4 linked regions of the Caenorhabditis elegans genome follow. The protein of the gene in region 4 purifies or fractionates together with the protein of the main gene of each other region. This does not show direct contact. Each region holds a gene or a part of one and is shown on either strand. Other genes may lie near its edges.

Region 1 (4,135 bases), on a different chromosome or scaffold from region 4:
TTAATCGAATTTCTTGGTAATTTGGTCTCGACGCGACACATGTTCCTTAAATGCAAAAAGGTGTGCGCCTTTAAAGAGTACTGTAGATTCATACTTTTGGTGCAGCGGAATTTTCAACGATTTTTTGTTATTTTTCGATTCAAAATAGTATTTCATTTTTAAAAAATTACAAATGTAAAGTAAAAAGTACGAAAAACTATGAAAAATCGATGAAAATCGCGCAGAAACAAAAATTTGAAACTACAGTACCCTTTAAAGGCGCACACCCGTTTGTATTTAACGGAAAATAATCGTGTCAAGACCGGGTAACGCATTTTTGGCTCCAAAATCGATTTTTTTTTTCTTAAATTTCCTCTGATTTTCGAAATTTCGGGGATTTTTTTAGAATTTTAGAAAAAATTACAATTTTCGCTGAAAATCCGCAGACTTTCCGTATCTTTTCAGCTGTGAAAACTAAGAAACCACAAGGAACAATTATTTTTATTTTTCTTAATTTTTCAGCAAAGAGCTTCAATCTCAGCGGCTCCGTCTCTGCTCGCCACTTGCACAAACGTTGGCGGCTCCCAGTACACGTGGACGATCCTTGGCAGAATTTTGCAGTTCGTCGATTGCAGATTTTAATTTCTAATTTCCCCCAATTTTTTTTTTGAATATTCTCCTCCCTAGAGATACTCGCCCATTGCAATATTTTCGTCTTTCCATAACCTGCCACGTGTATATTTTCGCAATTTATGAACTCTTTCTGTTAAATTAACTCTAATAAATCGCTTGACGTTCCACGTGACCAGTTTCCCGGAGGAGAATACCGGTCAATTGCGTAGCTTGGCTAACCAATTACTGCACTTTTGACATAGCAGCGGTAGCAGCAGCAGCATTGAAACGAAAATGATGACAAGTGTGAATTTTCATAAATATTGAGGGAAATCAAATAACTTAGCAGTATAGTCGCACAGGGGAAAATACAATAGAAGATCGAAAAACGAAACGATTTTAGAGGACTTGTTCGATGTGCGGTGGGAAAGAGAGATGTGGAGTTGGTGTCTGCACGAATGGGAATCCTGGTTTGTCGGGACGGAACAGCTCGAACTGTGAGCCGGCTTTGTTGATCACGGCGAGACGGACAACTCCGCCGGAGGATCCGTCACGGAAGGTGGCGAGTCCGACGGCTTGCTTCACGATCGCCTTGCACTCCTCGAGCGTCAAGTTTGGTCTCCATTGACTGTCGAGGAAGCCCTGCACGAATGTGGAACCGGAGCCGGAAGCTGTCGATCGCTGGCGGGACACGAATCCTCCGATTGGGATTGCGTAGACCTGGCCGCCGAGCTCCTCATCCCAGCCGGCGACGAGCACTGAGGCGGAGAGCTGCTCGCGGTAGTTGTAGAGGAATTGGCGGAAAATCTGGCTCGAGCGGTAGATTGTCACTGGCTTGTTCTCTGTCATGCTGAAAAAAGTGATTATTTAAAAAAATTATTTTATTTAATTTTAAAACAACTGAAAATTCCTTACGTATAAACATCAATATGGTACTTGGCAATATCGGCGATCGCTTGAGTGTCCGCTGCAGATCCAGAACGGCACACAACCATATTATCGGTGATCGGGGTGATTTTGTTGGTGGCACGGGAGGTGATGAACGAGCCGGCGCTGGTTCTCGAGTCGGTTCCGACGACAACTCCACCGTTGTACTCCATAGCGATGAGAGTGGTCTGAAAATTGAGCTTTTAGTGGAAATTTCAATTTAAAAATCTCACTCCAGTGCTGATTTCTTCCTGTGGATAGAACCCGATTGCCGGAATGGCTTTGCGCTTCTCATCTCGCATAGTATCCATTATCTGCAAAATATCGACTTAAATTCATTTTTTAAAAGTTATTTTAACGTTAAGAAATCAATAATAATGTATAAAAACAAATTTAGTAGTTATTTTTCAGAATAAAATCATTAAAAACGAGAAACCCGAGCAGAAAAAACATTGTCATCAAATCTCAATGCAGCAAAAATGACGTTTGAATTGGCGCTCCACCGGACTGCCTGCACATCTAACTTTCCTGGCACGCGGCCAACATTCGATTTTGGGACGATCGACACGTTCTGGCCACATTTTCTTTGATTTTTTCTGATTTCGCCGACTTTTTTCCCGTTAAAACTGGTTTTTATAACTAGTTTTCCATGTATTTATTAGTTTTTGTCATGTTAGTCACTGAATATCCATGATTTCTCGCCCTCACTGTCTTGGATTTTTGTTTCTCTGAATTTTCGCCATTTTTGATTGAAATTGTGACATTCAACCGTTTATTTTTTTGTAATTCCTCGCAACTGATAATTTCTTTTTTCTAAAATCAATTATTTGCAGTAATGTCGGACAGAAATTGCTACAAGTGCCAACAGCCGGGACATATCTCCCGCAACTGCCCGAATGGCGAGTCCGATGGTGGACGTAGAGGAGGTGGAGGAGGTGGAGTGGTGTTGAATTTGGGGTGTTGAGTTGATTTAGGTAAATACATTATCTCTTGATTTCTTACCGAATTGCAATAATTTTTGAAGTTCTGGAGAAGTGGAGGCGAAGAGAAATGTGTTTAAGCTGGCGGAGATTAGGAGTTATTTGATGATAAATTTACAGCGGAAATCTCGAGACTAATTTCATGTTATTTCAGGATCCACCTGCTACAACTGCCAAGAGACTGGACACTTCTCTCGCGATTGCCCCAAGGGAGGATCCGGAGGAGGACAACGTGGAGGTGGCGGCGGCGGTGGATCGTGCTACAACTGCGGAGGACGTGGACACTACTCTCGTGACTGCCCATCCGCCAGATCTGAGGGAGGAAGCGGTGGCTACGGAGGCCGCGGTGGAGAAGGCAGAAGCTTCGGCGGACAAAAGTGCTACAATTGCGGACGCTCCGGGCACATTTCCCGCGAGTGCACCGAGAGTGGCTCGGCCGAGGAGAAGCGTTGCTACCAGTGCCAGGAGACCGGACACATCTCCCGCGACTGCCCAAGCCAGACCAACTAAATCAATCATCATTCCCCCCATTTTCGTTGTCTTTTCATTGTTCTGTAACTCGAAATAATGTATTCAACTGAAACTTTCGTTCACTCCTTTTTCCAATAATCCTCTTCCCCGCATCTCAAATATTATATGTGAATGCTGGTTGCAGCTATTATCCCCCATCCCAACCTCTGAACCTCTTGAACGAAAGTGGTAATAAATTGTTGATTAAAGTCGTCGTCTTGCGCTCCTCCTCTTTCGCATCGGAAGTGAAGGCGACGTGATGCTCTCACATGGGTTTCCATAGCAACGCGCGCTCTCGCCGAGCAACTCGCGCTGCTCATTCACTCACTTTCGCATATTCTGCGGGAGCCTCGAACAATGAGCTGTTGTTTTTCGAAAAAGCTTTTTGGGCGCCGGTCTAAACGTGAGGATCGCTACAAGGTCAGCGAGGATGCGGTGCCGAAACCGGAAGAGGGAGGTGAACCTCCAAAGTATTCGTGGTAAGTGGAATTTGTGGTCTCGCAGTGAATTTTTTAAAAAAATTCGATTTCGCTGCAAGACCTGTTGCAATCATTTTGATAGCGCCTCTCTGAGGTTTCTAGGTTTCGTTTCTTTAGATATTTAGGTCTGGAATTCAAAAAAAGATTAAAGGCGCATCGCTGCGGGACCCGAAAAATTAATTTTTAAGGGATCGTCGAGAAAAAGTTAATGCCGAAGACTTTACAATTGCGAATATCCATAACACGACTCTGAAAAAGGAGTCGAAAGATGGTGGACCACTTCAAATGGAGAATTGCACGGTACGGTTTAAAGGCGCACGTATCGTGGCGAGACCCGATAATTTCTTTTATAAACTGATACAATAATTTAAAGTGGAAAAGGAGTCTCAGCAATTTCCGAAAAATAAAAATATCGTTAAAGAAAAGAGCGGAATTTGAAATTCCCTTCCGCATTTTTTAAAACATTTAATTTTCAATAAGATTTTATCAATCTCCCGTATACTAAATTTTCCGATTTTTGATGTGAAAATACGGTACCCGTTCTCGACACGGCAATTTTTTTAAAACACAAAAACGTGTGTGCCTTTAAAGAGTACTGCATACATACTGTAATTTCAAACTTTTGTTATTCCGGGGTTCTTATTAATT
Region 2 (5,452 bases), on a different chromosome or scaffold from region 4:
AAGTTGTCACCAAAGTCCATTTCCTGAGCTGGTTGTCTGTCATCATCATCATCCATGCGCACATCATTAAAGAATTCATCAACGGCTGGTCCCTGCGCTTGAATATCTTCTTGAATGTCCTCATTGAGGTTCAAGTCCTCCCATGGCTCAGCTTGAGCTTCCATTGACGGAGTGAAACTCGAACTATCGCTCAACTCTTGCATGGTGTAATTGAGATCGAACTCTCGGGTGACCAAACATCTCCTGTATCTTTGAAGGAGTTCTCTGTTGAACATTTTGCATCCAGGTTCACGGCTGAGGTGTTGAAGATCTCCGCTGACGCATAAATTGAACATCTTTCTGGTAGGAGGCGCCATTTCAACTACTCGCATCGTATCGGAGAAGTCTTCTTGTTGCTCTCGGAAAGCGTCGTTTGAAATCATAGTTTCAGCATCGACAATCAGCTTTCTCGCTTTTCTCTGACGTTTTTTCCGTCCTTCCATGTGCTCCACATCTAGAGGCTCCAGGGCAAATGACTCGGGACTTTGTGGTCTCGATGGCTCAACGTTTTCAGGCTCGAACGGTTGATAGTCAAAGTCCATACCATCGTCGTTTTGAACATCTGCGACAGCATGCTCTCTGACGGGATGAATCATTGAGCTGAACATATCAGCAGGCCCAACACCACCATCGTTTTCCAGTGTTTGATTCTCAACCTTCAGGTTCATTTCAGGCATGAAATTTCCGCCTTCCTGATTGTCAAAAATAAGATTTGGACGTGTTGGTCCTTCGGAGAAAATCACACTATCCGCATCTATACGGGAAATTTCCGTTCCATTTGCAGCCACATCACGATCTCGTTCGACTTCCATCAACGATTCTGGCTGAGGAGTGGGGCGCAAAGACAAAGGTTCCACCGATCCGTAGAGATGATCGAGTTGCCAAGATTCTCCTTCGTCACCGAACCCATCGAAATCTGCGTCAATGTTGAACTCGACATTGAAATTGACGGTTTCTTTCATGGTGATGTCTTCACGACGGCTCACATTAGCCTGAAACAGCGATTAAATTGAATGTGAATTGCTTTTAATACAACGCACCATAATGAGCTGCTCATTGTAGTCGGCATCGTGGAACTCGGGCACTGTGATATTGTACTTATCAATGAAGTTTGAGAAATCCTCTTCAATTTCTGCATTCTCTGGAATGTCGACTTCAAAACTGAATCCGTTGCGGAAGTTAATCTTCATCTGAAAATTTACTTTGTTTTTGTCGTTCTAAATTATCTTTAATTACCTTTTGATACGCTTCATTTGTATCAGCCAGAAGATATCGTGTCTTCTTCGAGTAGATTCTCACGATTCCAAGGAGAAGATGTCCAACTGTTCGGAGCGCCATTTTAACCTTGGGGCGAATGACTTCCTCGATCGCTTGGGGAACATCTGTTTCGAAGATTTGCGCCTTTGTCAGCTTTTTTTCCCAGTGAGCTGCCAGCCACACTTTTGCCAACGGTCCCTTTTTGGCGAGAACGAACTGTGCATAGAACATCTGAAAATAGCATGAGATAAACAATAGATTGTTAACGTCAAAGAGATCATAGATTAGAAAATTCCTGAGAAAACATGATAAAAGAGCAAAAACTGGAAGAATAAGTATGTTCAAATGATCACAATGAGAGAAGCAATAGTTTTAAAATGAGGCAAACATTGAAAATGCGGTAAATTTCTGATGATGAAGACAAAACGCTCGAAAAATCGTTTTCAAATATTTTTGTCTTCCTCCTCCTGGGTCTTACCGCGATTTGAGGTACGGTAACACTCGTTTCAGCTGTGCGGATTGTCACTCAAGAAATAATTATTTTCTACTCTCTACCTTTAAAATTTTTGTGCATTTAAAAGTAATATTTTTATAGGTTTTGAAGTTATTTTTCAATTAAAAAAGCAGAACTATATATTCTAATTATTGTTATTCCAGATATGGCCGACAGACGCGAACCGATCCCGGTTGACCCGGTCGATGTCGGAGAACTAAGCGAACTTGACAATTTGGCTCATTTGGCCGCTCATGTAAGTTTTAAAACGTTTTCGAGAATTTATCTGTAGATTTCATTAAATGATTTTCAGGGTGGAGATGGTCGTTTGTTCAAAATGGAGCAGGACTACTCGAAACAAGTCGACGAAGCACTTCTGAAAGCCCGAGATATCGCTCAAAAGGACGCTGTTGCTGCTGTAGAGAGTCTGAACAACATCGAAAAGCTCACTCGTCTTGGAGCTGACATGAAGAGCAATACACGCGTTGTTCAATATATGGTGATAATACTTTTCAAATTAAAAAAAAAATATTAATTCTGATATTTGCAGACGAAGCTTTGTTTCGAAGGGCAGAAATGGGATCTTCTTATGGAAACAATCATGACGCTTTCAAAGAAAAGACTTCTCATCAAAATGGCTATCGCAAAGATGGTCCGTGATGCTGTCGCAATGATTGACAAAATGCCAACCGAGGACCTCAAGATGAAGCTTATTGAAACTCTTCGCACTGTTACAGCTGGAAAGATCTATGTGGAAGTGGAACGTGCTCGCCTCACCTCGATGGTTGTGAAGAAGTTGGAGAGAGAGGGAAAGCTTGACGAAGCTGCAACCATGCTTCTTGAACTTCAAGTGGAAACATATGGCTCCATGGAAATGCGAGAGAAGGTGCAATACCTTCTCGAGCAAATGAGATATTCTCTCGTTCGTAATGATTTTGTGCGAGCCACTATTATCTCTAAGAAAATCAATATCAAGTTCTTCAACAAGTCAGACGAAGATGAAGTACAGAACCTGAAGCTGAAATACTACGATTCGATGATCCGTATCGGACTTCACGATGGAAACTATCTGGACGTGTGCCGTCATCATCGTGAAATTTATGAGACGAAAAAGATTAAAGCTGATTCAGCCAAGGCGACCTCACATCTTCGTTCTGCCATTGTCTACTGTCTTTTGGCTCCGCACACAAACGAGCAATGGGATCTCCTCAACCGAATTGCCATTCAAAGAGAATTGGAAACCGTTCCAGACTACAAGGTAAGCTGTGCGATTTGAATTTAATCTAATTATTGTTTTCTTTTCAGATCATTCTGGATCTTTTCATCAACCAAGAACTCATTTCTTTCAAAGGAACCATTGTCGCAAAGTACGAGAAGCTTTTAAGACGTGGAACAACTAGCTCACCAGACACCGGAATTTTCGACAAATCAACTGAAGGAGAGAAGCGGTGGTCTGATTTGCACCTTCGTGTTGGAGAGCACGTAAGTTAAAATTTTAATAAGTTAAAAACCTGTTAAAATTTATAAATTTTTATTTGTATTTTTACAGAACATGCGTATGATTGCCAAGTACTATACTCAAATCACTTTCGAACGTCTCGCTGAGCTCCTCGACTTCCCAGTTGATGAAATGGAATCATTTGTGTGTAACCTCATTGTTACCGGTCAGATCACCGGAGCAAAACTTCATCGCCCTTCCCGTATTGTCAATCTTCGTTTGAAAAAGGCAAATGTTGAGCAATTGGATGTATGGGCGAGCAACGTGCACAAACTGACGGATACATTGAACAAAGTTTCCCATCTCATTCTGAAAGAGCAAATGGTTCACAAGAACTTGGATCTCGCGGCCCCACGGGCATAAATTTAACCACTTTTTTGTGTATAATTCCGCCATCATGTGTATTTTTCTTATTGATGTTCGCCCTCCCCAATTTCTTCTTTTTCGTGCACCTTCTCCGGTTTTATCATTAATTTATTAATACTGTCGATCGATTTCATCCTTTCACTCTTCGGTTTGATAGTAAACGTATACGTGCTCAATGTGTATTACTAGCTTTTGAAGAAACAATTTTATGGAACAAGTTGTAAGATAGAGGTAACGGGAAACAAATGGATCATCACAGGTTTGAGTTGATTTTCTAGGAAATTGATAAGAAGCTATAACATGAGTGCACCAATTACTGATAAACTTGATATCCATTCTCATCCTCTTCCAAATGTTCTCGTTCAGCAGAAACCAACAACTGAGCTAAATCGGTTTTGTGGACGATAAAAGTGAGGAAAAGTGAGGTCAACATGAAGCATCCACAAACAATGAAAAGATATTCAAATCCGATTTCAGAAAGAGCATGTGTTGAAATGAGTCCAGCGATTAGTCCGGCGACACTCTGAAATGTATTCATGTATTCGCGAATACGGTACCCGGTCTCGAAACGAGAAATTTGTGTTAAAAACAAATAGGTAAGCGCCTTTAAAGTGTACTGTAGTTTCAAACTTTCGCTACTGCGACATTTTCATCGTTTTTCTCACATTTTTTTAAATGTATGTGTTTAAAATGTTTTATTTCATTTATAAAAATTCCGCATCGACGCAAGTTTGAAAGTACAGTACTCTTTAAAGGCGCACATCCCTTTGCATTTAACAAAATTTTGTCGTGTCAAGACCGGGTGCTTTTTCACAAAAACCGGAAAATTTCGCATCCCGGTAATAAGTTCCACTTACCACTGCACACTGCAAAAATCCATACATAACACTGAAATTCGCCTTACTAAAACACTTGTGCGTGATGTAAGGAAAGATTGAAAATGTGCCTCCGATGCAGGAAAACATCAGACAAACCTGAAAAACTGTAATTTCAATGAGAAAAAAAAAGAAAAAAACGAACGGTGGCCAAAAACAGAACATCATTGGATACCATTTTCACCAGTGGCATCGAAAATGCCAAAACTGCTCCCAGGCTGCACACAATCGACATGGAAAATTGATAGGATGTCTGAAAATTTGATTTGAAATTAATTATTGGAAAATCAAGACCGCTCCGCCTTCAAACGTTGGGTCTCGTTAGGTATTAGCGGTAAGAATTTTTAAAAAACATGTTTTCGGTATTTCTTTAGAGTTTAACTGTTTTGTCGCCAATACCCAACGAGACCCGACCCTTGGGGGCGTAGCGCGAATTTTTCTGCGACTCCATAATAAAATAACCGTATCCGCAATTGCACCCCAAAAAACTCTGCTCCCAGCGTTGAAAATCGAGGATATCGATCCGATCAAGCTCAAAAAGAAGTCAGAATCGATAAATTGTTGCCCATAAGCTTTGTAGAGACCACTTGTGAGTTGGACCCAAACGGCATTGCATGTCAACGACAGGAATAGTACTAGGAAAGTTGTGGTTCTGAAAAAAAAACCCGTTATTTGTCTGTATAATGCCTCGCGGCAGGACTTACCGTAACTGCGGCCAAACCCTCGCCTGTTCCACGCGAATTTCACTGTTCGTCCCAATCAAATTCTCCGTTTCAACGTGAATATCGCCTTCCGGTTGCCCGATAAAAATGAGCCCAATCGATTGAAAAACCGTAAAAAAGATGGACATCACGATGAAAACGTAGGGAACCCGTTCCAAAAGATCCTCTTGAGTGAAGAATCCTTGATCGTTGACACGATAAT
Region 3 (5,328 bases), on a different chromosome or scaffold from region 4:
TCATCGTACTCCGAAGAAAGAACATCTGAAATAAAAACGATGCACGCATTATCAAGACTTTAAAACTTACATTGTTTACAGTTCTGAGCGCTCTCACTGCTGTCGTACCAAGCCATTATAAAAACGTAAAAATTTAATAAATCGGCAGAACTAGAACTGATCAAACTAGGAGATAATGGACAAAACAATTAGAAAGACACGTCTTTTATTTATTATTAGAAAACGTGAGAATATAATCTTTACAACTGCATATGTTCGATCATTACCAGTTGTATCTATCGGTTTTTGAGAACTTGCATCATGTCGCTGTTTGATAATTCAGATCTTGCCGAGAAATGTCGATCATGTAAGTTTTGAAGATGTACCGACACTAGGCGCTTTTGTGACAACAAAAAAGTAGCAGCCGACATTTTAAACCCATTTCTGAAGATAATAAATCTAGCAGCCGAGTCCCAGGGCTGCTCTGCTAAATCGCTTCCCTGCAGCGTCCGACCTCTCACGAGCTTTTTTCTAATGAATCTCTATTTCGGACACCGCTAGCAGCGACTACTGTCTTGATGACGCCTGCAAAAGTACCAACGCTCTCTGGAAAGAATGCTGTGAGCAGACCAACTACTGCGAGTGGTACATGACGGTTGAAGTTGCAATTGCCGTCATTTGCATTCTAGTTTTTCTGTTTTTCTGTGGAATTGTTGGATCCATTGTTTCCTGCGTTTGTACCGGAATTTGCTGCTGTGCAAGAGCTGCTGCTGGAGAAGACGGCGATCTGGAAGGTTTAGAGCTAGATTATGAAACTGAAAGTTTGACAAAAGATTCGGAACTCAAAATGTCTTAGAACTATAAATTTATTTTTTGAAACAATAAATCATTTGAACCCAATTATTAGAATTAGGTAAAAACGTAGTTTGGTAAAATTGTTGCCGACAGTTGACAGGATCGGCTTTGAAACAATTGAAGTTGAGCACCCCAAACTTTTCGGGCAGTTTGGATCAACTCTTGAGTGAATATCTACGACCAACCAATGAATGAAAATGATCCATGTGCTCGTGTTCAAGTCTTTGAATGGCTTCATGGAGTTGCTGAGAATCCACCAAAATTTATCGGTCCTGCTTTGCCAACTGGGCCAAAATATATGAGCCTACTCATTACCGGGATCAGGAACGATGCTTGGTTGTGATGTTCTAGGGACGTGAAGCTCCTATCCACACAGTGAAAAGAAAATTGTGATAGAATATGCTTACAAATAAAAGAGCATTAATTTTTAGTCTTTAATTTCGTTTTTGTGCAGAAAAAAGGAAAATCTAAAACATTTATATTCAATAAAAGTTTGTAATAAATAGCAAAATGCCATGAGCAATTGGAAATACCCATTTCTAAAATTCCTTGGAGACAAATATGGCTCAGGAGCTCCAGAATACATCCTTAGTGAGCAGGTCCCTGCTAATCAACAATCTCATCATTTCATTGGTTCCTTCAAGGATTTGGTGAACTCGGATGTCGCGGAGGTACTGTTGAACCGGATAATCTTTCAGGAATCCGTAGCCACCGAACATCTGCAGAGCTCCGTTGACGACCTGGAACAAGAAACTTTGTCAAATGTCGGCTGAAAAATTACTCACATCGAAACAATTATCAGTGGCGTGAAGCTTCGCCATTGCACAAAGAGCCACCTTCTCCGGATCATCATTGTCTAGTTGCTCCGCGGCGTTTCTAACGATTAGTCTGAAAATAAGTTCAAATTTTTTATAAAAGTTTCTAGTTGACAAGAAAATCTCACCTGCTAGTATACAATTTTGTGGCGAGCTCCGCAAGCTTGAACTGGTTATACTGGAAGTCTGCCAAGCTCTTACCAAATTGTTTTCTATATTTCAAATGTTCAATAGCTAAGTCCATGCTCCTTTGAGCAGCTCCTAGTGAGCAACTCGCAATGTTAATGCGTCCTCCGTTGAGCCCAGCCATTGCGATGTTGAAGCCGAACCCGTCTTTTCCAATTTGATTAGTGATTGGTACCTGGAAAATGGAAAATGGAAATTTATACAAATGCTCAGGGCAATCGTTTCTTTTATCGGAAAACAGTCAATTAATACTTCTTAAAATTAAAACTTCTAAAACGCTCACCTTGCAATCCTCAAAAGTCAAAATCCTTGTTGGTTGTGAGTTCCACCCAAGCTTATCCTCCTTCTTCCCGTAACTGAATCCCTCAGTTCCATCCTCAATCATAAGACAGAAAATTCCCTTGGCTCCCGGAGCTGCACCATCCTGCCGCATCATAACGAAGTAGCTAAATTTTTTACAATATTTAAACAGAATATCTCAAGAAAGACCTACTTATTTGAAGTTCCTGCTCCACTGATAAAAGCTTTCGATCCGTTGACAACATAATAATCTCCTTTTTTGGTAGCCGTGGTTCTGATGCTTGCGGCGTCGGAGCCCGCGTCTGGCTCTGTGAGACAGTAGGATCCGAGCTTTTTGAAAACAGCCATGTCTGGGAGCAAGTCCTCTTTAAGCTTCTCCGGGCCGTAGGTATCCAGCATCCAGGCGCACCTATAAGATATATAGTTCACTAGTTTTTTTTAAAGCTAACTTACATATTATGAATTGAAATATAAGCTGCCGTCGACACGCATCCCATTGAAAGCTGCTCAAAAATTACTGAAGCATGAAGTCTAGAGAGCCCGGATCCTCCATGGTCGCCACTGCAATAAATGGCTCCGAATCCCATTTCTCCAGCTTTCCGGAGCACGTCCATCGGGAGCTCTCCCTGAAAAATTTCAAATCATTTTTTAAAAGAATGTTTTTGGGAAAATCTTACCTGCTTATCCCAATCTGCCATTTTTGGGTACATTTCTTTCTTGGCAAATTGATGGGCGGCTTCCAAAACATCTTCGACGTCGCGTTCGAGTCCAACACCCGCTGAAAGTATATTTTCTTAAAAAATTGAACTTGTAAAATATAAAACCTACGCCTCAAGCAGTAACTGCTGGAATTTCTGAGCCGAAGACCTTTGGAGAGCACATTTCGTAGCAACATCTGCTGAAAATTTGAAAAAAAAATCAAACGAAAATCACGAAAACCGAGAGCACGTGGTAGAAGAAAACTAAAGTGGACTTTTTGTCCGTTTGGCAGGCAAGAGAGGGAGAGATAGAGACGCAGTGAGAGTTGCAGGCAAAATATGAAAGAGACGCAGAGGGGGAAAGTGATAGTTTGATCGCATCGAGACAACTGACGAATAGAAGGAAAGAGAACGGTGGTCAGTGATGTTTCCTCCTTTTGTTTCTTATAGATTGACGTATTGAAATTTGAAATTAAAACTCTGCAAAACAAGAGGGCATAGTCAAGTAGGAATATAGCAACTGGCAAATCATGGGCCTCAAGAAAAAGATGTTTTATAGAAACTGCAAACCTCTTGCAGACACTAGCTTTTCGAAAAAATTGAAAAAAAAATTTGTAAGTTTTCAAATAAAAATCCGATCTGACCCCTTAACCTCTATTTGTTCTATTTAGATTAAATCTCAAGCCTATATGAAAGAGATTTCAGACTTCAATCAGAGTCAAACACCAATTAGTTCTTCCGGATGCAGTCAATGCTAAAACATTTGTGATGCGTCATCAAACATCAAGGCGTCTGCAGCAGCTATGATTTCACCGACCTTTTTCATATGAATCAAAAAAAGTTTTGTATGTTAAAGTTTTTTTTTGTAAAATCAATATAAAATGTTTGGCTTGAACAATCTGTGTTTGGTTATTGTTTCATTTTCAGATGAACTAGTGAGTTTTTTGGGTATAGCTTTGCCTTGAAAAAAGCATAAAAAGGTCAAATCAATGATTTATTATTGTAATAATTTTTTTTCAATATAGACTTTTGATTAAGAAAAAACGAATTCTACTAATTTTCCATCAATTAATAAAAGCTGTGAAACTCAGTGAAAATTAGATGCTGCAAAATTGAGTCAAAAAGAATTTCAACTAGAAACGGATAAAGCCGAAAAATATGAGTACACGTTAATAAGCACTGATTTGGTTTAGTGTCGAAATAAAACCAAGAATTCAATTTACATAAACTTTATTTAAAACACAAATAAAATAAAATAAAAACAAAACAAAAACTCATACAGTTACTGGTGGAATGATGCTGGCCAACGGAGTAACTTCAAACTGTGCCATACAAAAGTCGTTGATGAGACTGTACTCACAGCATGCCTCGCAATATGGGTTAGGGTCCACGTTGAAGATACGGAAGCCGTATTTTGCCATGGTTTGGAGCAGTTCAAAGTGATTCAACGGGGTTCCATGAATTTCAATGAAGATCTGACAAACAAAATAGTCCTTGATCAGTGGCTCCAAAGCAGTGAACTCTCCATTTTCAATATCCATTTTCAACAGCTCAATCTCACTTCTACCAGACTTCTCGAGCATCGATGAGATGGGCAGATTGTCCGGGATTTTTCCTACGAACAATTGGCCATTGATATTCTTGTATGACTCTTTCGTCTTTTCGTTTTGTTCTCCCTTAATTTACAGAGTGAATATTTAAAATTCAAACGTTTTAAACTCACAATATCTGCTCCAAGTATGATGCATTGCTTCCCTGTAGCTTTGTGGATGTGTTCATCGTATTCTATTTGATTGTTAAGTCCCAATGACATCAACGTGCACCCATTTCGAACCATTTTTGGATTGCAAACATACTTTCCCCCGTCTCCTGACTCTCCAATTCTTTCCATATTCTCACAATGAGCTTCCGTCTTCACCTTCGCGTAAAAGTCCTTGTTGTCATTTAACTTTGCTGCAGCAATCAGTAGCTTCCGGGCCTGATCCGCAGATTTAAAAGAAGATTTGCGGACCTCTTTTGCAGAATGGGAAGTGTAAAGAGCTGCTGGGTTAAGCACTCGAGCTTGTCGTGTGAAGCTCGGCAAAGAGCATTGTTCCAATTTACGATCTGAATTTTCCCGTGTAACTAGCATAACTATGATCTTTTGAAACTTACTGATTTGATTGGACGTGATAAAAATAGACACTGAAATAAGAAGCAGCAGAACTAGCAAGAAGATGCTCAAGGAGCTCGAATTTTGTTTACGGAGCATGCCAGTCTTATCTTAAACAGTGACAAGAATCGTTGAGATGACGATGAATGTAAACTAAGGACTGACAGAGAAACGGATCAGTTTTTGGGTGTTTTCACGTGAAACGTGTTTGTGATTTTATAACTTACCAGCCGTTCGCACGCGCCAAGGCGCGTGCTCCGTCTGGCTTGAGATTTTTCCAAAAATTCACATAAAAATTATTGTAGTTTCTAGATTTTTAAAACATATTTTCAGCTTGGTTTTT
Region 4 (4,545 bases):
ACTTTTGTTTGCTTGGGATCGACAGGGGCAGCGTATAAGCTAAAATATGATAATTTCTACATAAAACCATTCGACCCATTGAAACCTTTTCATCTGATCGTACTCTGCTTGGGACTTTTTTATGTTGTCCTGTTTATCTTTCCTTTGCTCCAAACTGATTTTCTGTTTCTTACGAAGAGCGTCCAGTTCCTTTTCACGAGCTGCCTAAAGTTCATGGTTAAAGTAAATTTCTCTATAATCTCTATGTTACGTGATCACGAATCGACACAAACTTTTTTTGTGGAGCCAAAGTGGATAAGTAGTATTCTTTCAATCGTCCAAATTCTACATCAACTTTCACTCCTTGACGATTGACAACCGTATTGGCTCGTTGCATCTTTGGATGGCGCTGAATTTCAAGAAATAATGTATTTCTTTTTAACTTTTTAGATGGATAGTAAAAACCGTAATTAAGCACTTCCTTTGCGCGGCGAGATATATATATATATATACTGTATGCTTACCACGTCTGAATTTTTCGATTTCGAAACGTATTGAGACTGCGTATGAAAGATTTCAACTACTTGCTCCTTTCGAAATTCTTCCCAATTTTTCAGTTGTTTCTGAGCATCCTTCCTGGAAACCAAATCAGATAAGTTATTACATATACATCAATTTATTTAATTACTTGTGAGTTTCATACTGATCATCACTCAGTTTATACCGCTGCTGCATCTTCTTTTTGTAGCTCATCTTCTTCGCCTGTTTCTTTTCATAATCAGATTTCTGTTTATCAGGCGATGGTGATAAACTGAGCTTTTGGAGTTTACCTGAAAGCGCTCGATTTTACTTTAAACCAAAAACTCATCATACTTTTTAAACCAGAGAAATTCATGCTCGCTATTTTTGACTCGAGCACTTGTGAAATGATGCGTGTGAATACTTAGACGTGAATAGAAGGATTAAATGGAAGTTTATTTATCGACTTCACGCGAAAATAAATAAAATTTACACCGAAAACGTGGGTTGGAGAGAGTAAAATGTTTTGAAAAGAAGGATACAAATAAGTTAAACATGGAGATACTGAAACGCATCCTGCACACCGGGGAAAACTTATTCATATTGACAGTTAGTCTCGGCAATCGACCAGTCACCAATAATCTTCTCTTCTTTACCCAAAACGACACCTTCTGTCGCATCAACACGTCCGATTTCGAACTCATTGTCAGCGACGCAGTCGTGGTAGAGAGTAAGTTCAAGCGATTTGCGAAGCACGGCTTCTGCCTCTTCACGGGAGAGGTCTTCTCCCTTCTTTCTCCACTCATCTTCAACAGCTTGGTTGAGGAGGAACGCTCCAAGTCCAGTTGCAATGTGCTTCACTTGATATGCGCATCCCTGAAATTTAGAATAATTATTATGTGATTATTTAATCATGAGATTCTGATCCGGCAAGTTAACGCTTTCAAGTTTACCTTCTGAGTAATGACACCGATGAAAGGTGTGCTAGTCTCCTTGTTGTTCTTCTCCTCCTCTTCGACTCCGGCGACAACAAGTGTGTTCCACACTGGGTTCATCTTGCAACGTCTGAAATTTTTTACTTAAACTTTCAATTTAATTAGGAAAACAGACTTGGCGTAGAGAAGGCTTGTGAGGTATCCGTGGAGAGCTTTTGGTCCAATATCCTGATCGAAGCGCTTCCAGAGAAGAACCTGACGCTCGATCACATTTTGAAGCCAGTGGAAGTCAGCGTGATCTCCTCCGAAGGCAATGAGAACATTATCATTGACCTTGTATTGACGAGAAACATTCTGGAAACAAATATTATGAAAATCCACTTTCAGCTGAACGGAAATTCAAACCTTGTAACGAGCCATTTTTCCATAGGAAACAACTCGATCAGTAAGGACAACAACCCCAGTTTTATACTGGAGAGCGATAACCGATGTTCCGGTACAAGTAGGATTCCTGAAAAATTGAGTTAATTCAAACGAATATAGGTTTAATGACTTACAGTGTGCGCTGGACTTCGTCGTGAGCATTCATTTTGGTTCTGAAACAATATAAATGAAGTTTTTGAAGGGAGTGCTTTGAAAAAATGAAAGGAAGTGAATTTCGACAATGAAATGCAAAAATGGCGGCTAAGTCATCATAAAGCATGTGCGCTCCGTCGAATTTTACACTGAATACCACGCACAATTGCGTACTTCAATAAGAAAAATTATCTCGCGCTACTTTTTTTGAGATAATATTATAATATAAATTAATTCATATTTTATAAATATATTAATTCATATTTTATTCTTTTGAATTCTCACTGAAATTGTGAAACTATTTAAAATATAAATTGTTTCAGAAAAATGACCTCGGAGCTTAAAAATAACGAAGAAGACTACAACTCATCGTCCGATGAAGATTACGATCCAACAAAGGATACCGATTTTGATCCAAAGGATGAAGTAAGCATTCCTAGATATCGCCCTTTTATTGCTCATTCTCCTCAACAGATCGATGATCAAGAAGAATGCGAAGATGGAATTGACGAAGAAGTTGAACATCTGAAAAATGAAAAACAAAGTGACGACCATACATCAGAAAAGGCAAACAGTACTGAAGGAAGTGTTGATGTGGATGCGATATTTGCAGAATTAACTGGGCTAGCACCGAAACCAGTTGTCAACGATACATCAAGCAAGAATATTCCAAAAACTGAAGAAAGGGTGTATCCAAAATCAGCAGCGTATGTTTGAAACAAGTAGAAATAACTTTTAAAAATGTATTTTACAGATCTGCATCCAACGAGTCTACAAATCAGAAGGTTTATCCGAAAAAGTGAGTTGACATGAGTTTTTATTTGATACAAATTTAAAAACAACTTTTTCTTATTTTTCTAATAATTTTTTTCAGAACGGAAACAGCTGGAACATCGTCTGAAAGTAGCATTGTACCCGGAAAGAAAAGAGTCGGCTTGCTTGATGCTGCAAAATCACTGTCGAAGCGTTCTAAAATTTCTGTTTTGGAGAAATCTGATCGAGATTGGAAAGATTTTACGACGCAAAATAATTTAAAAGTATGTTTCTTTAAGTTTAAGGTTTTTGAATAAATTGTTTGTTTTTCAGGAAGATTTGGAATCTCATAACCGAGGGAAAGGCGGTTATCTGAACAAAATGGACTTCTTAAACCGAGCTGATAATCGCCAGTTTGAAAAAGAACGAGCGTTCCGTGCAACAGCTCGTAAGGACACTGGACAGTAAATAATTCTTTATTTTTTCAATTGAATCTTTTTTGTGATTTTCTGGTTTCTTTGACAATTCGTAACTTTGAAAAATTCATAAACCTTCTGTAAAGATACGGACATTGAAATTTAATCATGAACATATTTAATGGACAAAAACGAGAAAAATGGTAAAGGGAGACAATAACTAAATCTAGAAAAAGGATGAATCATGAAAAGGGAATTGTAGAAAAATCACATTCTAAAATAATTAAAATGAAATACAACAACTTTGGGAAAAGGTAGGTTACAGTTTTATAATACGAACTCGTTTGTTTTTAAGGACTTTTTGTGGAATTTTTGCGAATTGTTTCAGAACAAAAAAAAATCTGCTACTTGTTTTTAAAACTGGGATTCATGAGGAAAAATAGATAATGGAAAATAAGGAAAAATTAAGATTTGCTGGGCTTGAGGGGAACATGATGAAGACATGAAGTAGAGAGCACATAGTGGGATGTGGAGAGAGAAAGAGCTAGAAGGAAGCGAGAATTGTTTTTCTGATCATTGTGTTAATTTTACAAAAAAATGGATAGGAGATTGTGTTGATTCGATGATGACTTATGATGTTGATGATGGTAACGGCAAACAGAGAAAGAAAAGAACAGGAAAAAAGCGGATAAAGCATGAATTTTGAAGCACACAGAACAATTGAAAGAACAAGATATACTGGAAGATAGAAAGCTAAAACTAGAGAAATTATGACGAGATGATGTAGAAAGGTAATCAGATAATGATTGCAAATTGAGATTTTTTAAAAATTACAATGAATGGGTAGGCTGCATCAATTAGGTACAACTATTCTTCTAAATCGAGCTCATCATACAGATCTTCATCTTCATCAGAGAAATAGACCTGAAAGAAAAATGTGTTATTTTAAAATTAAATTTGTATTATTTTCAAACCACCGAAACACTTTTTATTTGCATACCTGGTTATTGATAACTCCAGAATTTCTATAATTGCTGTCATCAAAGCGTTCGCGTTTGATTGGTGGTCTAAAAAATTATTTTATTTTTACATTGAAGCCAGAATTTTACAAATTTTTACCCTCTGTTAACAGGTGCCTTTCGTTTCCTCTTCTTCTGAGCAGCGACATTTCCTTTGGCTCGTTCGAGACATCGGAATTCTAGAACAATTGGATAGATCTTTGAGAGTACTTCGAGAACATCGGCTTCCGATTGAGCTCCAGTGACTGTAATTGAGCCAGTCGTATGAATTCGAAGAGTAGCTTTTGGTGTCACAGATCTCCAAACAAGACCAACGGAAAGTTCAGGCTCATATGTGGATTCTGATGG

Evidence for each region.
Region 1: the proteins of pbs-7 (region 4) and pbs-1 fractionate together in Caenorhabditis elegans (co-fractionation; one large-scale study listed by BioGRID). This does not show direct contact.
Region 2: the proteins of pbs-7 (region 4) and rpn-5 fractionate together in Caenorhabditis elegans (co-fractionation; one large-scale study listed by BioGRID). This does not show direct contact.
Region 3: the proteins of pbs-7 (region 4) and acdh-9 fractionate together in Caenorhabditis elegans (co-fractionation; one large-scale study listed by BioGRID). This does not show direct contact.

The regions. Positions count from the first base shown.
Region 1 is NC_003282.8:1,707,914-1,712,048, forward strand, and holds pbs-1 (Proteasome subunit beta), read right to left. Parts: upstream 1,833-4,135; 5' UTR 1,830-1,832; coding exon 1,752-1,829; intron 1,707-1,751; coding exon 1,507-1,706; intron 1,442-1,506; coding exon 991-1,441; 3' UTR 890-990; downstream 1-889. Other genes in the region: pugs-4 (C6 domain-containing protein), read left to right, coding at 502-621; K08D12.3 (CCHC-type domain-containing protein), read left to right, coding at 2,354-2,453, 2,653-3,008; rpi-2 (Protein XRP2), read left to right, coding at 3,366-3,487, 3,676-3,787.
Region 2 is NC_003280.10:4,694,796-4,700,247, reverse strand, and holds rpn-5 (PCI domain-containing protein), read left to right. Parts: upstream 1-1,953; 5' UTR 1,954-1,955; coding exon 1,956-2,045; intron 2,046-2,102; coding exon 2,103-2,288; intron 2,289-2,339; coding exon 2,340-3,047; intron 3,048-3,094; coding exon 3,095-3,271; intron 3,272-3,338; coding exon 3,339-3,650; 3' UTR 3,651-3,827; downstream 3,828-5,452. Other genes in the region: scc-1 (Sister chromatid cohesion protein 1), read right to left, coding at 1-1,031, 1,080-1,229, 1,276-1,527; F10G7.5 (MFS domain-containing protein), read right to left, coding at 3,967-4,176, 4,511-4,627, 4,674-4,781, 4,991-5,180, 5,233-5,452.
Region 3 is NC_003280.10:845,571-850,898, forward strand, and holds acdh-9 (Isobutyryl-CoA dehydrogenase, mitochondrial), read right to left. Parts: upstream 3,034-5,328; 5' UTR 3,031-3,033; coding exon 2,964-3,030; intron 2,914-2,963; coding exon 2,813-2,913; intron 2,762-2,812; coding exon 2,589-2,761; intron 2,545-2,588; coding exon 2,329-2,544; intron 2,282-2,328; coding exon 2,119-2,281; intron 2,011-2,118; coding exon 1,778-2,010; intron 1,723-1,777; coding exon 1,620-1,722; intron 1,575-1,619; coding exon 1,401-1,574; 3' UTR 1,294-1,400; downstream 1-1,293. Other genes in the region: F28A10.7 (uncharacterized protein), read right to left, coding at 1-25, 71-116; F28A10.13 (60S ribosomal protein L35), read left to right, coding at 3,364-3,447, 3,539-3,640; F28A10.5 (Methyltransferase FkbM domain-containing protein), read right to left, coding at 4,108-4,509, 4,557-4,939, 4,988-5,084.
Region 4 is NC_003279.8:8,694,271-8,698,815, forward strand, and holds pbs-7 (Proteasome subunit beta), read right to left. Parts: upstream 2,032-4,545; 5' UTR 2,023-2,031; coding exon 1,991-2,022; intron 1,945-1,990; coding exon 1,839-1,944; intron 1,788-1,838; coding exon 1,609-1,787; intron 1,564-1,608; coding exon 1,452-1,563; intron 1,375-1,451; coding exon 1,093-1,374; 3' UTR 935-1,092; downstream 1-934. Other genes in the region: K07A12.5 (Pre-mRNA-splicing factor SYF2), read right to left, coding at 1-39, 86-204, 251-388, 504-615, 668-809, 853-874; F39H11.1 (Craniofacial development protein 1), read left to right, coding at 2,337-2,435, 2,484-2,716, 2,764-2,808, 2,884-3,046, 3,096-3,230; tlf-1 (TATA box-binding protein-like 1), read right to left, coding at 4,046-4,102, 4,179-4,245, 4,298-4,545.